Notamacropus eugenii: one gene and its partner. The protein of the gene in region 1 interacts with the protein of each later gene in a biochemical or structural test. Links are inferred from orthologs where the notes say so. Each region holds a gene or a part of one and is shown on either strand. Other genes may lie near its edges.

What was found.
Region 2: of the proteins of CGAS (region 1) and RNF185, one has a biochemical effect on the other in vitro, tested with the Homo sapiens proteins (2 studies listed by BioGRID). The link is inferred for Notamacropus eugenii from reciprocal best matches to the Homo sapiens genes CGAS and RNF185.

The regions. Positions count from the first base shown.
Region 1 is NC_092873.1:142,982,871-142,990,234, forward strand, and holds the start of CGAS (cyclic GMP-AMP synthase), read right to left. Parts: upstream 3,038-7,364; 5' UTR 2,949-3,037; coding exon 1,923-2,948; intron 305-1,922; coding exon 85-304; intron 1-84. UniProt on the Homo sapiens protein: Nucleotidyltransferase that catalyzes the formation of cyclic GMP-AMP (2',3'-cGAMP) from ATP and GTP and plays a key role in innate immunity.
Region 2 is NC_092875.1:13,959,903-13,967,618, forward strand, and holds the start of RNF185 (E3 ubiquitin-protein ligase RNF185), read right to left. Parts: upstream 3,044-7,716; 5' UTR 2,954-3,043; exon of another isoform or gene 2,899-2,953; intron 1-2,898. UniProt on the Homo sapiens protein: E3 ubiquitin-protein ligase that regulates selective mitochondrial autophagy by mediating 'Lys-63'-linked polyubiquitination of BNIP1.

The DNA of each region.
Region 1 (7,364 bases):
TGTAATTCTATTATCATAAAAGACAAAGAGAAAATATAATCTGTACAAACAGATCTTTAAGAATAGAGAATACTAACTTCTTACCTTTAATATGGTTTACTTCTGCCTTAATGATTTTCCTAAATTGAGATAGCAGCTTAGAAGCTGATAATATTCCATTATCTAAAAAACTGATCAGAGGATTTCCTGCTGGATTTCTTTTAAACTTCACAAAGTAAAAGGCACCACTGTCATCATATTCTTCTAGTTCAATTCTGGAAACTTCCAGTTTAAGCATGATATCAAATTCATTTGGAGCAGAAATCTATGAAACAGCAAAAAAAAAAAAATTACACTGACATGTATGATGTATTTTTTAATGTTTTGCTGATTTGTCAAAAATTGAATTTTCCTGAGAATTTTCATTTATTAATTCAATTTGCAAAATTTCTAAAATTAAAATTTTATCATACAAGATTTTGTTCCCACATCAGTTTTCCTGGGTTTAATTTTCCACAAAAATTTTTTTAAAAGAAGTATATTAAGCTCATCAAATGGGCTAGAACCCTGAATAAATCTTTGTTTATTCTTTCTTTGCTCCTCACTATAGTAAGGAATCATGTTCTTCATTTGTAAAAATAATACTAGTGACCCAAGGAGCAGCTAGGTGGTGCAGTGGATAGAGCAGGAGTCAGGAGGACCTGAGTTCAAATCTCACCTCAGACACTTGACACTCACTAGCTGTGTGACCTTGGGCAAGTCACTTAACCCCAACTGCCTCATCCTGGGTCATCTCCAATCATCCTGATGAATATCTGGTCACTGAATTCAGATGGCTCTGGAGAAGTGAGGCTGGTGACCTGCACAGCCTTCCCTCACTCAAAACAAAGTCAAGTGTAAGTCATGTCATTATTTCTCTGATGGCATGGTCTTCTTCGGCAACAAAGGACAAACACATCATTCTTTTGTGAGTAAATCCTCCATATCTAAACATGGGTCATGGGAACTCTACATCCCAGTAGGTTGGCAACAAAAATATCATTGACTAGGAGAAATAAGTGCCACCCTCTTCCTTTCCCTCCCCTTCACAAAGCTGAAGATCATAAGGTTTAGGGTAGGAAGTGAGTTCAGGATTCATTTTGGTCTAACCTCTGATATAGGGAGAAAACAGGAGTTAGGAGAGAACTTGGTGTTAAATCCTGCCCTGAGGTTCACTACCAGTGTGACTGAGAGAAAAGCACCTTAACCTTTCAGTGTCCCCAGGCCTCTAAAATGGACATGTTACAACTGAATTTTAATAAAAGATTAAATTGAGGAAGATCTCCGAACAAGATAACATTTATTAGCATATAGTAAGTGGGTCAGGGGCTTGCCTCCATTAATGCCAAAGACCCCCCAGCCCCAGCAAATGGACAGTTCCTTTTCTATCGGTTTTGGGGAGTCCAGAACAAAGAACAGCACAGGGCAGGTGAAATCATGGGATTAAGGGCAACATGATCGGTTACAGACCTGAAGCACAAGAAACAACAGGAACGTTTGGAAGTTTGGCAATAGAAACTAGCAAATAATCCCCACCTTCTGAGACTCCCGGTGTGAGGCAGCAGCCCACACTGATGGACAGCGAACCAGACAGATCACACACCATTTCCCATCTGCGAAAACCTAGGCTCACCGAAGTTAAACGACTTGCTCAATAGGTAATTAAGTAGCAGGCGTGAACAACTTCCCATTCCCAGATCCAGCTTTCTTTCTTGGATCCCCTGTAGAAAAACGAGCAGCTACGGCGCAGAGTTATCGTGGTTTTGGTGACAAGGCGCCTGCAGAGTCGGAAGTAATGATAACGGAAAGCAAAGCATTTTGCAAACATTGAAGATCTATAAGGAAGCTAGCTACTACCATTCTCGAAGGAGAGGTAGGAGTGAGCAAACCCTTAGTCAACTCACCTTCACCTGCTCGTAGTAGCTGCCGGTGCCCAGCCTCTCAATGCCCCTGAAAGCCGGGTCCCAGAGGGGCAGCCGCCGCTGCAGGTGGTCGACGACCTGGTTCACCAACACGCAGGCCTGGGATGTCTCCTGACGCCGCAGCTTCAGTTTCTCCACTACCTGCTGTAACCTCCGGCCAACGGAGTTCTGCCGGGGGACCCCCTTCTTCCGATCCTCAGGATCCTTCATTCCCTTGGGCAAGATTCCCGGCTCGTTGGACAGGGGCGTCAGAACTCCAGGCCCGGGATTCTTCTTGAGGACCGGTCTCCCTTCCTGTAGGGTATGTACGTCCCTTGGGTGGGGAAGCCCCTTCTTAGTGGCCTGAGACCCCGGGACCCTGGTAGGCAGCTTCTCCTGGAGGACAGAGGGTTCCTTCTCCGGGAGAACAGGGGGTTGTTTGGCCCTGAGGACAGGGGGTTTCTTCTCCTGGAGGACAGGGGGTTGCTTCTCTTGGAAGACAGGGGGTTTCTTCTCCTGGAGAACAGGGGGTTGCTTGGCCCTGAGGACAGGGGGTTCCTTCTCCGGGAGAACAGGGGGTTGCTTGGCCCTGAGGACAGGGGGTTCCTTCTCCGGGAGAACAGGGGGTTGTTTGGCCCTGAGGACAGGGGGTTTCTTCTCCTGGAGGACAGGGGGTTTCTTCTCCTGGAGAACAGGGGGTTGCTTGGCCCTGAGGACAGGGGGTTTCTTCTCCTGGAGGACAGGGGGTTTCTTCTCCTGGAGAACAGGGGGTTGCTTGGCCCTGAGGACAGGGGGTTCCTTCTCCGGGAGAACAGAGGGTTGGTTGGCCCTGAGGACAGGGAGTTGCTTCTCTGGCAGAGATTCCGACCCACTGGAGTAGGAACCCTTCCCTGGGGCGGCGTCCGTCACGTCGGGGGCAGCCTGAGAGGAGAGGCTGGGAGCCCGGGTTCGTGCTGCCTGCGTCTTGCGGGAACCTCGGGTTGAACTCTTGCGCCGGGCTGCCGGAGCCCTTGTCACTGTCCCCTCCATCCCGGACCACCCAAGCTCTTCTGGATCTCTCGCCTTGGTATCTCGTAGAAAAAGGCTTTCCAGGAAGAGACAGGAGTGAGGGTGGGGAGAGTGGGGATTGGACTGACTAGAGAAAAGGCGGGAGTGGTGGAGGGGATTCTAAGGAAATGAAACTTATCAAACCGGCGGGAAGTCTGAAGGACAAGAATGTAGACTAACTGGAAATCCCCGGCTGTCCTAGCAATTAACTGGGAAGGGGGAAAATAGTTTAATATATTGACTTATACAATAAGTATAACTTTATAACTTTTTACAGCTCAAAAAACCCAAAAACTTTTAAGCGTTTTGTCCTTGTGCAGCAGCCACTTGCTTTGTACAATTTGGCTTTAGATTGGCAAAATTAAAATCTTCCTTTCATTCTTCATCACTGAATCGCACTTTTATCACCATGTATAATTAAGCATACCTTTGAAGGAGAATTCATTTTTCCAAGTCTAATCTTGATTATAGTGCATAACTTTTTTTAAAAATACATTTTATTGTTATCTTTTTGTTTTTACATCTCCTAGATTTCCCCCATACCCTTCCCTCTTACCCTTCCCAGAAAGTTATCCCTTATAAGAGATTTTAAAAGAAAAAATCGTCAACACTGATCAATACACTGAAAAAAATTGAGGTTATATGCAATGTTCCACACATCCTTCACCCCACCTCCACCTCTGTAAAAGATCTAAGATATGGTCTTCTCATCTCATCCTTTATAATGTAAAGAAGAACCTCCCTCACATTAGAGAGGTCCACCTGTAGCAAGGGCTGCCCTTATGTGTGGCTCTAAGGGAGGCAAAATAGACATCTCTAGCCTCTTCTCCCCCCACCTTTCTCCAAGGGAGACTTGCATTACTGCCAGGAGGGAAGCAGGAGGTTCGCAGAGGCATTCCCCATATCTGGGGACTAGAACTTGATTACACTAATAGCTGCTAAAAGCAAAAGAAAACAAAAAAAGAAAAATGAGTAAGCAAAGGAGAAAATCCAACTGATGGAATCCTAGCCACTGGCCCCCACATCCAATATCTCAACTTCTTCATATGCCTCACTAGACAGATGTGCTCATGAGGAAGCTAGGATATTGGGTCTGGGGGCAATGGCTAGCTAGGGACAGTGGCTAGGATTTCATCACAACCATAAGTAGCTCCTATAAGGACAGAGAAGATCTGAGTTCATACTCAGAGGAAGATAAAGGAGCTAAAAAAAAAAGTCACTCCTTTTTCAACGAGAAATGTCAAATGGTTCCAAGCAAAAAAGAGTTCTTGGAAGAACTTTAAAAAGATTTTAATAATCTAATAATAGAGATTGAGAAAAAATTAGGAAAAAATAAGATCAACCAACTTAAAATAAAGAATTAAAAACTGAAAGAAGAAAATAATTCCTTGAAAACTAGAATTGAGCAAAGGGAAGCTAACGACTTTCAAAGACACCAAGAAATAATTAAACAAAATCAAAAGAATGAAAAAATAGAAGAGAATGTGAAACATCTCATCAAAAAAACCAATCTGGAGAACAGGTTTAGAGAAATAATATAAGAATAGTTCAACTACCTGAAAATTATGATAAAAAAGAATCTTCATCACATCTATCAGATTGGCAAACATGACAGAACAGGAAGATGATAAATGTTGGAGAGGATGTGGGAGAGTTGGAACACTAATATGCTGCTGGTGGAGCTGTGAATTGATCCAACCATTCTGAAGAGCAATTTGGAACTATGCCCAAAGGGCTACAAAAATATGCATACCCTTTGACCTAGCAATAGCACTTCTAGGACTGTATCCCCAAAAAGATCATAAAAATGGGAAAGGGTCCCACATGTACAAAAATATTTATAACAGCACTCTTTGTGGTGGCCAAAAACTGGAAATCAAGAGGATGCCCATCAATTGGGGAATGGATGAATAAATTATTGTGTATGAATATAATAGAATACTATTGTGCTATAAGAAATGATGAACAGGAAAACTTCAGAGAGGCCTGCAAAGACTTATATGATCTGATGCTGAGTGAAAGGAGCAGAACCAGGAGAACTTTGTGCACAGCAATGACCACAGTGTGTGAGAGTTTTTTCTGGTAGATTTGGAACTTCATTGCAATGCAAGGACTTAAAAAAAAAAATTCCCAATGGTCTTCTAAGGCAAAATGCCTTCCACATCCAGAGAAAGAACTATGGATTGCAGATTGGAGCAGATCAGATCATTTGTGTGTGTGTGTGTGTGTGTGTGTGTGTGTGTGTGTGTGTGTGTGTGTATGTGTGTATTGTGTTTTGGTTTGTTAGATGATTTCTCCCAATCATTTTAATTCTTCAACACAGCATGACTATAGTGAAAATGTATTTAATAGGAATGTATGTGTAGAACCTATACAAAATTGTATGCTGTCTCAGGGAGGGAGGGGGGAAGTAAGAGGGAGGTAGGGGAAAATAATAGCCTAAGTTATATGGTAGTTATTGTAGAACACTGTAAATAAATAAAATTAATTAATAAAAAAATAATCTTGATACAATATTGTAAGAAATTATCAAGGAAAATTGCCCTGACATTCTAGAAGAAGAAGGCAAAGTAGAAATAAAAAAATCACCGATAACCACCTGAAAGAGGTTCTAGAAGAAAAACTTACAGGAATATCATAGCCAAATTTCAAAGCTCTCAGGTTAAGGAAAAAATATTGGAAGCAACAAGAAAAAAAATTTCAACATCATGGAACTACAGTAGGGATTATGTAAGAACCAGCAGCTACTATTATGAAGGACTGTGAAGGTCTTGGAATACTATATTTCATAGAACAAAAGAGCTGGAGTTGTGACCAAGGGTAACTTACCCAGCAAAGTTAAGAATAATTCTGAATGAAAAAGAATGGACATTTAATGAACTGAAAGACATCCAGGTATTTGTGACAAATAATAGCAAAACTTAAAGGAAAATTCAGCATATAACACCCTGGAGAAATATAAGGTAAACGTCAAAAACCAATTATAAAGGGCTCAATTAGATCAAATTGTTTACTTCTAATATGTGAAAATATTATCAGTACTTTTATGACTATCATTATTTTTTGGGCAGTTTGAAAGAAAGGCTTGAGCTAAGCTGTGTATGATGGCATGGTTCTAGAAAAAATTGTAGGGAGAGATAAAAAGGAGTAATTATCTCATACCAATGAGGCATAAAAGGAAAAACTGATACAGAAGAAGCTAGTAGCGGGGAGGGTAGGTAGTGCTGGATTACTCTCATGAGGAATTACTCCTCAGAAATGAGTTAAAGAGGGAACAACATATATATATGTATATAAAAATATACATATATATGGGTATAAAATCTCCTAAATTCAAAAAGAAATAACAGGGCAAGGAGATAAGGTAAGGGAGAGGATAAGGGAGAGACTCTTGGAGGGGTGTGCAGGTTAAGTAGTAAGTAAGTCCCTTATGATTTCTCTTTTCCGTTTACCTTTTCATGCTTCTCTTGATTCTTGTATTTGAAAGTCAAATTTTCTATTCAGCTCTGGTCTTTTCAACAAGAATGCTTGGATGTCCTCTATTTCACTGAAGTTTCATTTTTTTCCCCTGAAGCATTATACTTACTTTTGCTGAGTGATTCTTGGTTTTAACCCTATCTCATTTGACCTCTAGAATATCATATTCCAAGCGCTTTGATCCCTTAGTGTAGAAACTGCTAAATATTGTGTTATCTTGATTGTGTTTCCACAATACTTGAATTGTTTCTTTCTGGCTGCTTGTAATATTTTTTCCTTGACCTGGGAACTCTGACATTTGGCTACAATATTCCTAGGAGTTTTCCTTTGGGGATCTCTTTCAGGAGGTAATTGGTGGATTCTTTTCATTTCTATTTTATCCTCTGGTTCTAGAATATCAGGGAAGTTTTCCTTGATAATTTCTTGAAAGATGACATTTAGGCTCTTTTTTTTGATCATGGCTTTCAGGTAATCCAATAATTTTTAAATTATCTCTCCTGGATCCATTTTCCAGGTCACTTGTTTTTACAATGAGATATTTCACAGTCTTCTATTTTTTCATTCTTTTGGCTTTGTTTTATAATTTCTTGATTTCTCATAAAGTCATTAGCTTCCATTTGCTCCATTCTAATTTTTAAGGAATTATTTTCTTCAGTGAGCCTTTGGACCTCTTTTTCCATTTGGCCCTTTCTGCTTTCTTCTCCTTATTAGCTCTTTGGACCTCTTCTGTCATTTGGGTTAGTTTAATTTTAAAGGTGTTATTTTCTTCAGCATTTTCAGGGGGTTCCTTTAGCAGGCCTGTGCTCTGGTCTGTGAGTGACCACAATCTTTTCATGCTTTTCTTGCATCACTCTCATTTTTCTTTCCAATTTTCCTCTACTTCTCTTACTTGATTTTCAAAATCAATTGGCCTGAGACCAA
Region 2 (7,716 bases), on another chromosome or scaffold:
ATATAATATGGATTGTATATAGATTATTCTTAGGAAGATTTCTGTAGATGTAGACTAGTAGGCATATGATCAGTAATTGATAATCTTTTCAATTATTCTTCCTGGGGTAGTAATATTATCTAATTTTTCCCCAAGCATTTGGTATCCTTCCCAACTTTCAGATATGCTGAGAAAGATACTTCAATGCCCACAAAAACGTTGCCTCTGTGTGGATGGATATTCTCTGTGCCTATCTGGTGCAGCTCCTGTCTAGTACCATTAGCTTGTTATCTGTTCCTCACATAACACATTAAGGGCTGTGATATTCAGGGTCTGTGTGTGTGTTTGTCCTTTGTTGCCGAAGAAGACCATGCCATCAGAGAAATAATGACATGACTTGCATTTGACTTTGTTTTGATTGAGGGAGGGCTGTGCAGGTCACCAGCCTCACTTCTCCTCCACAGCCATCTGAATCCAGTGACCAGATATTCATCAGGATGACTGGAGATGACCCAGGATGAGGCAGTTGGGGTTAAGTGACTTGCCCAGGGTCACACAGCTAGTGAGTGTCAAGTGTCTGAGGTGAGATTTGAACTCAGGTCCTCCTGACTCCTGCACTGGTGCTCTATCCACTGCACCACCTAGCTGCCCCTTATTCAGGGTCTAAAATGGGAAGAGAGACAGCTAGCTGAGTGATCCTAGACAAGTCCCTTAACCCTGTTTGCCTCAGTCTGTAAAATGGAGAGAGTAAGAGCCCCTCTTTCCCAGGGTGGTTGTGAGGATCAAACTGAGATCATGTGTAAAGTGCCCGGCACACAGTGAGGGGGACAGAAATGTTAGTGCTATCATTATTATTTCCAAGTTCAGTGTCTCGGTAGTTTGTTAAAGAGCCCGCTCTGTTTGGCCTCTCTCCATGTTTCATCCTTCAAGACTGTTTCTCTCTCTGTTCCTCTCCCCAGGCTTGCCCACCTCTGGCTTCCGGATTTCTTTGCATATATTCTTAATTCACAACGATATTCCACTCCCTCATTTGTCTCTTATTCCTTCTGAGTAAGGCACATCCTTCTGGACCGACTTGGTGAGTCTTTTCCCACCAAATCTCAGTGGTCAAACTTGTCACCTTTCCTTAGGATTTCTCATTTTCTGTGCTTGTTACCCCTGAGGAGAACCCTTAAGGTAAAAAATGCTGCCATTTAAAAAATCTTTACACCTCGCATGCCTAGCATAGTGCCTTCCATGTAAAAAAGAGCTTAATAAGGAGTCGTCAGGGCGCCTTATACAATGACAATCCTCTAGTCTCCCAGGCTCCTTCCTCTCCTCCCCGGCCCATCATTCACACAGCTCCCAAAGACTCTTCCCACTGCTCAGGTGTGACCATACCACTCCTCTACTCAAAAGCTTTCACTGCCCTCAATTTCCTTTAGGAACAATTCAATTTAAAGGGGACATAGAGACAAACGACAAAACGGTCCTTGCTCTCCCAGGATATGGTTGATCAAAGATAACAACATGTACAAAGATAAGTAGGCAGATACAGAAACAGAAAAAAGTAAGCACAAAGTACTTTGGGGTGGCAGGAGGGCACCCCAACAAGAGGCGCCAGGCATCGGTTTGGGAAAGGCACCAGAGCCAAACTGGAATCAAACCAGGGACGAGACTGAGGAGACTGGAAACATGGTGGTGCCTTCCCCGGAAATGGGCAAGCTCAAGAGTCCTGGTCAGCGGGACAGACAGACTCGGTTCTGGGCAGACTGCATGGGGGACAGCGTGGGATCCAGATTTCTCTAGTGGGGAGCTGGCACCAGGGATGGGTGTGTGGGAGAAGCAAGAGTGAACAAAGCACGGGAGGCTTTGAAGAGCCTCCTTCCACAGCGCTCTGCCCGACCTTCCCACTCTGACAGCCCTCCCTCCCCTTCCTTCATGCTGGGTGCCAGCTGGACCTCCTGGAATGCCCCTGCCCTCTCCCCTGCCTATGAAGCTGCTGCCAAGGGGCCCAACCCTGGGACCGTGCCTCCTCCTTTCCACAATCCCTTCCTCCACAGATCCCGGAGAACTTTGCCCGTGCCACTCCCGGGCTGGGGGGTGGGGCCCCTCCCTCTGCACCCCCAGAGCCTGGCACAGCGCTAAGTCTCAGAGAACCCGGGCAGGGGCGGGCGCTGCCCCTCGGCCCAGCCTGCAGCGCCTGGCACCCGGAGGGCCGGCTCGCGGGAACACTTCATGCCCATCTGGCAGACCGGGGCCGAGGTGCCCCGCTCCTGATGGCCGAGCTCTGCGTCACGTCCGCACTGACCGCAGCAGGAGCCAGACCCCCCAGGGAGGTCAGCGACGCGGCCACGGGCTACCAGGCCAGGAGAGAGCCCTGCGGGAGGGGATCGAGCATCACCGGGGAAGCAGGAAACAGTGCCCAAGGAGGGGAGGGGGCGTCTTGTCCTTGCGACTGCGCAGTGGCATGAGGGCCACAAGTTCAGAAGGGGCCAAGTTTCATACAGCGCATGCGCAAGCAGAATCAAAAGAGTTCCGGAACCGAGGTTCTCAGCGCTTACTCTGTTAGGGCGCATGCGCAAGCGGAGTTAAACGTGTACAAGAAGGCACGTCGTCACCACGGCAGCCAGTGCCCCTGATCTATGGCGCATGCGCAGCTTCGGGTTAAGCCATTCTAGTCAACGCCTCTCTTCTCAGCGCGCCTGCGCACTGGAAAGTTATGGGGGGCGTGTCACGGACCCAGACAGTTCACGAACGAGGCCCCCCCAACCTCCTATGGCGCATGCCCAGTAGTAGGTGGAAGGCGCGTTACGTCCCGAAGAGTCAGACCCCCACCTTCCCTTCCCTGCCACGGCGCCTGCGCAGCCGCAACCAGACCCTGAGAGGAGGTCCCAGCCCGCTCCCTCCCCGTCCCCCAATCCAAAAGCAGGCCCGCACCCTCAGGGAGTGCAAGCGGCCCCGGAGCGCCGAGGGCCACGGACCGCCGAGGTACCTCAGCGCGCGCTCCCTCGCTCCGTCCACCGCCCGTCACGTCAGTCAGGCTCCGGCTGCGGCGGCTCCGGAGCCTCCTCCGCGGGATCCCGTCACCTGACGCAGGGGATGGGGCCTACGCGAAGGCACTTCCGGTCCGCACCCGGAAGGGAACGGCGGGCACTGTGGGCGGGGACACCTTCGACCAGACGACCAAGGTTCCGCCCGCGGGCGAGGCACGTGGGATGCGGAAGGAAGAAGGATAAGCCCTGAATGTCAGGACTGGAGGGGCCTCAGACCAGGGGGGGTCAGGACCGGAGGGGCCTGAGAACAGGGGGTGTCAGGACCGGAGGGGCCTCAGACCAGGGTGGGTCAGGACTGGAGGGGCCTCAGACCAGGGGGGTCAGGGCCGGGAGGGGCCTCAGACCAGGGGGTGTCAGGACCGGGAGGGGCCTCAGACCAGGGGGATCAGGGCCGGGAGGGGCCTGAGAACGGGGGGGGGGTCAGGGCCGGGAGGGGCCACAGACCAGGGGGGGTCAGGACTGGAGGGGCCTCAGACCGGGGGGGTCAGGGCCGGGAGGGGCCTCAGACCAGGGTGGGTCAGGATTGGAGGGGCCTCAGACCAGGGGGGGGGCCTCAGACCAGGGCGGGGCTGGGCTGGGGGGGGCCTCAGACCAGGGGGGGGCTGGGCTGGGGGGGGGCCTCAGACCAGGGCGGGGCTGGGCTGGGGGGGGGCCTCAGACCAGGGCGGGTCAGGACTGGAGGGGCCTCAGACCAGGGGGGGGCTGGGCTGGGGGGGTGCCTGAGAACCAAGGTTGAAGAGGTAGGTGAAAGTTAGATTCAGGAAGACTTCAGATAACAGTTTGAGGAGTTTGCCTGTGATTTTAGAGGCAGTAGTGAACTCTCAGAGGCTTCTGAACAAGGGGGTGACGTGGTCAGACACGTCTTAGGAAGATTATTGTTGTGGCTTTGAGGAAGATGACCTAAGGGAGGGCACAAGCTGAAGGTGAGAGCAGCTCTCTGGAAGGCAGTGCCATGTCCAGGCAAGGCTGAGGCCTTGCCCTAGGGATCCTTCATCTCTCTTGTGGAGCTGTCAGCTGAGTCTGGGGGGAGGAGGCAGAGGCCAGCAGAAGAGCCTTTGACCCCAGCCTGAGAACAACTGCCCTACCCAGAAAGGCATGGCAGGTGGATTCGACTGGTGCTGGGTATGAGCGATGCAGAAAGGCAGCACCACGGCTTCGGCCCCCAGGGAGCGCACGTTCTAATGCAGGAGACCCCAAGAAAACAGCTTTATACTTGTGAGCTCCACATGGTATCACTGGGAGGCAGTCAGAGTGAAGGCGCATTCAGTGGATGGGGTCCCAGGAAAGCCTCCAGGAGCTGAGTCTTACAGGAAGCCACAGACTGTAACGGTAATTTAAGGTTAATGGTGAGTGGGGGGAAGAGTTAAAGATCTCCCCCTCCCATTAATAGGCCTCAGTCCCTTTTGTTAATCTCTGTTGAGGGTCCTGCCCTGGGCTCTGAGGTGAGGCTTAGCGTTTGGGAGAAGGTTGGTGTGCTAGGTGAGACTCTGGGCAGCTGCTGAGGAGCCCCTCCCCTTGGAAAGCCCAGATGTTGGTGATTTAGTGCTCACGGTCAGACAGTTGGAAGCTCTGTCTGTTGGTCTTGGTTTCTCTGAAGTTCAGGGGGCTGACTCTTTCGTCTGAACTAAGTGAATGATACATGTGCCTGATTAAAGTAGATTGCTGACTCCTCTTTTCAGAATAGCAGATCTGAGAACCTGTAGAGCAGGCCCTCCTGTGGGTGCCGGGGTCCTTGCTGTTACAAAGCCAGTGAAAGCATGGAGCTGGCAGTGTTTTGTACAAGGGATGGTGAGAAAGGTGGGAACAAGCCTTTATGAGGCACCTGCTGCGTGCCAGGCACTGTTCTCAGCCTTTTGCAACAATGACCTCATTTAATCTTTGCAGCCCTTGGGTGATACATGTTACAGTTACCCTCATTTTACAGTTAAGGAATCTAAAGTAAACTTTAGGCTAAATGACTTGTGCGGGGTCCCACAGCTAGTAAGTGTCTGGGGCTGGATTTGACTCCAGACCAACGCTCTGTCCGCTGTGGTATCCCCCTTGCTTCCTCTGGGCCAGTGCTGCTGGGGCATACAGCCCCAATTCAGGAATTGAAGCTAAAAAGATGAGTGCATTTGCCAACCTAATTCTATAATGACTGCCAACAGACTCAGAGGAAAGATGCATATTCCACAAGGTCTCTATGAATACTTACAAGAAATGAAATGAGATTTGAAAGTGAAATAAAAGCTGTAATCTAGAGGAAAGATCCCACCTTCCCTATTACTGTTGAGGATACCACTCTCTTCCCAGTCCCCCAAGGTCACAATCTAGGGGTCATCCTGGACTCCTCATGCCCTCTCCCCCCACATCCAATATGGTGCCAAGGCCTGTGGATTTTACCTGTGCAGTATTCCTTGTATGTCTCACCCCTGCATAATACTCACCCTTCTCCCCTCTGACACTGCCCCCACTCTGGTGGATTATTGCAGTAGCTGCTGGGAAGTCTGTCTGTCTCCAGTCTCTCCCTACTCCAATCCACCCTCCATCAGCTAAAGTGATTTTCCTAAAACCTACGTCTGATCACGTTGCTCTCCTAGAACTCAAGTTCCTGGGGCTCCCTGTTGCCTTCAGCAACAAAGACCAAATGCTGTTTGACATTCAAAGCCCTTTGTAACCTGGTTTCCTCCTACCTTTCCAGTCTTATACCTTCATCCTGGACAGGACAGTGGCCTTGGTTCCATTTCTTAGCTCTGTGCATTTTCTCTGACTGTCATTCATACCTGGAATGTTCTTCCTCCTCATCGTTATTCACTGATTTCCCTGGTTTCCTTTAAGCCTCTACCAAAAGCCTGTCTTCCACAGGAAGCCTTCCCCAACGTCTCTTCAGTCTAGTGTCTTCCCTTTGTTAATTATTTCCTATTCATCCTGTATATAGTTTGCTTGGTGTAGATTTGTTTGCACGTCGTCTCCCCCTTTAGATTGTAAATTCCTTGAGGGCAGGGACTGTCTTTTGTCTCTTTTTGCATCTTCAGTGCTTAGCACTGTGCCTGGCACATAGTAGGTACTTAATAAATGTTTATTGATTGAAGTAGCTTGGAAGGGAAAGTGATAAACCTTATTCAAGAAATGGGTGCCCTGAAAACTAGAGAATAGACCAACAAAGCAAGGATTTTATGAGACAGCAAGAAATAGTAGGGAAAAAATTGAGATTGAAAAAGAGAAAATATAAGATATCTGATTTTTTAAAAAAACTGACCTGGAAAAGGTCAAGGGAGATAATGTCAGGCATTGTCTTATGTAAAAACCATTATTTAAAAAAATTAAGTGCTGGACATTATATTTTAAAAAACCATAAAAGAAAACTTCTAACGTGTTAGAACCAGAAAACAAAGTCAGTAAAGATACAAAGAATCCACTGTTTAATTCCTGAAAGGAACCCAAAAGGGAAGAATCCCAGAAATGTCCCAGTCAATACCTAGAGCCCCCATGTCAAAGAAAAATTGCTACAAGCCTCCAGGAAGAAGTTTGGGGAATGAGTCAGGATCATACAAGACCTGGCAGCTTCTACTAAAAATGAACAGCGATCATGTAATTCAATATTCCAAAAGGCAGAAGAAGCATCTTAGAACTGAGAATAACTTGCCCTGCAAATCTGAGCATAAAAAACTACAGGGAAAGAAAAGCAGACCTTTCACGGAATAGAAACGTGATGAACAGCTCAAATAGAAAGGAACCAATCAATCCCTACCAAGTCACACAAATTAACATTATCCACATTGCGTTTTTATTTATTTTGTTAAACATTTTCCAGTAAAATACAACCCAGTTCAGCGTCATTCAGGAGTTTTGTGGGCTCACTGGCCACAAATTGGACACCTTTAGAATAGAGAATGCTCAGGTATTTCTGATGAAGAGCAACACTGAGGGAATTGAAATAGAAACTTTAGAAAGGTAACATCAACCATTTATTAAGCAATTACCATGTGCCAGGTACTGTGCTAAGTACTGGAAATAAAAATACAAGAAGAAAGGGAGGTACAGTTATCCTTTCCCCATCACAATTTCAGTATATTGCAGGTTGGCATAAGAAATTAAATGGGAATTTGGGGGGAGTTTTGTGGAAGCAGCAGATGACAGAAAAGGTTTAGAAACTCAGAAATAATAAAATATATGTATAGTATTATATAATGGCAACATATTTTATCTTTTAATACCTTAATAATTTAGACTTCTTCTCTGGCATGAAAGGAGGGCCACAGAATTTTATGTTGCTTTTCCAGATCCCTAGCACTGTGCTAGTGAAAGGGGTAACTGTATTCCCTGACTTCACATAGCTTACATTCTGGTTTTGAGAGAAGACAACAAACTGAAGGGAGCCAAAGATGAGGGTGGAATAGATGGCGTCCAAGTCCAGAGGGCCAGGAGTGAGGCAGCCAACACAGCTGGCCTGGGCACTTCCTTGAAATGGAGGGTCTGGGAAGAATTCATCAATGGGAGGAGGCAGGCCATAGCAGCAGCAGGATCTTCCAGAGGGACTTCACTCCAAGTTATACTCCAGACTCTCCACAGGACTCTCTACCATGCCGCAGAAACTTCTTCATCCCACAAGCTCACTCCACTCCTGGACTTCACGTATTGGAAGTACCCTCTGCTCCTTCAGCCTCTCTCAAAAGGGAGAAAGAAACATGTTGTTTTCTGAATGTCTCTTTCTGAAATGTTC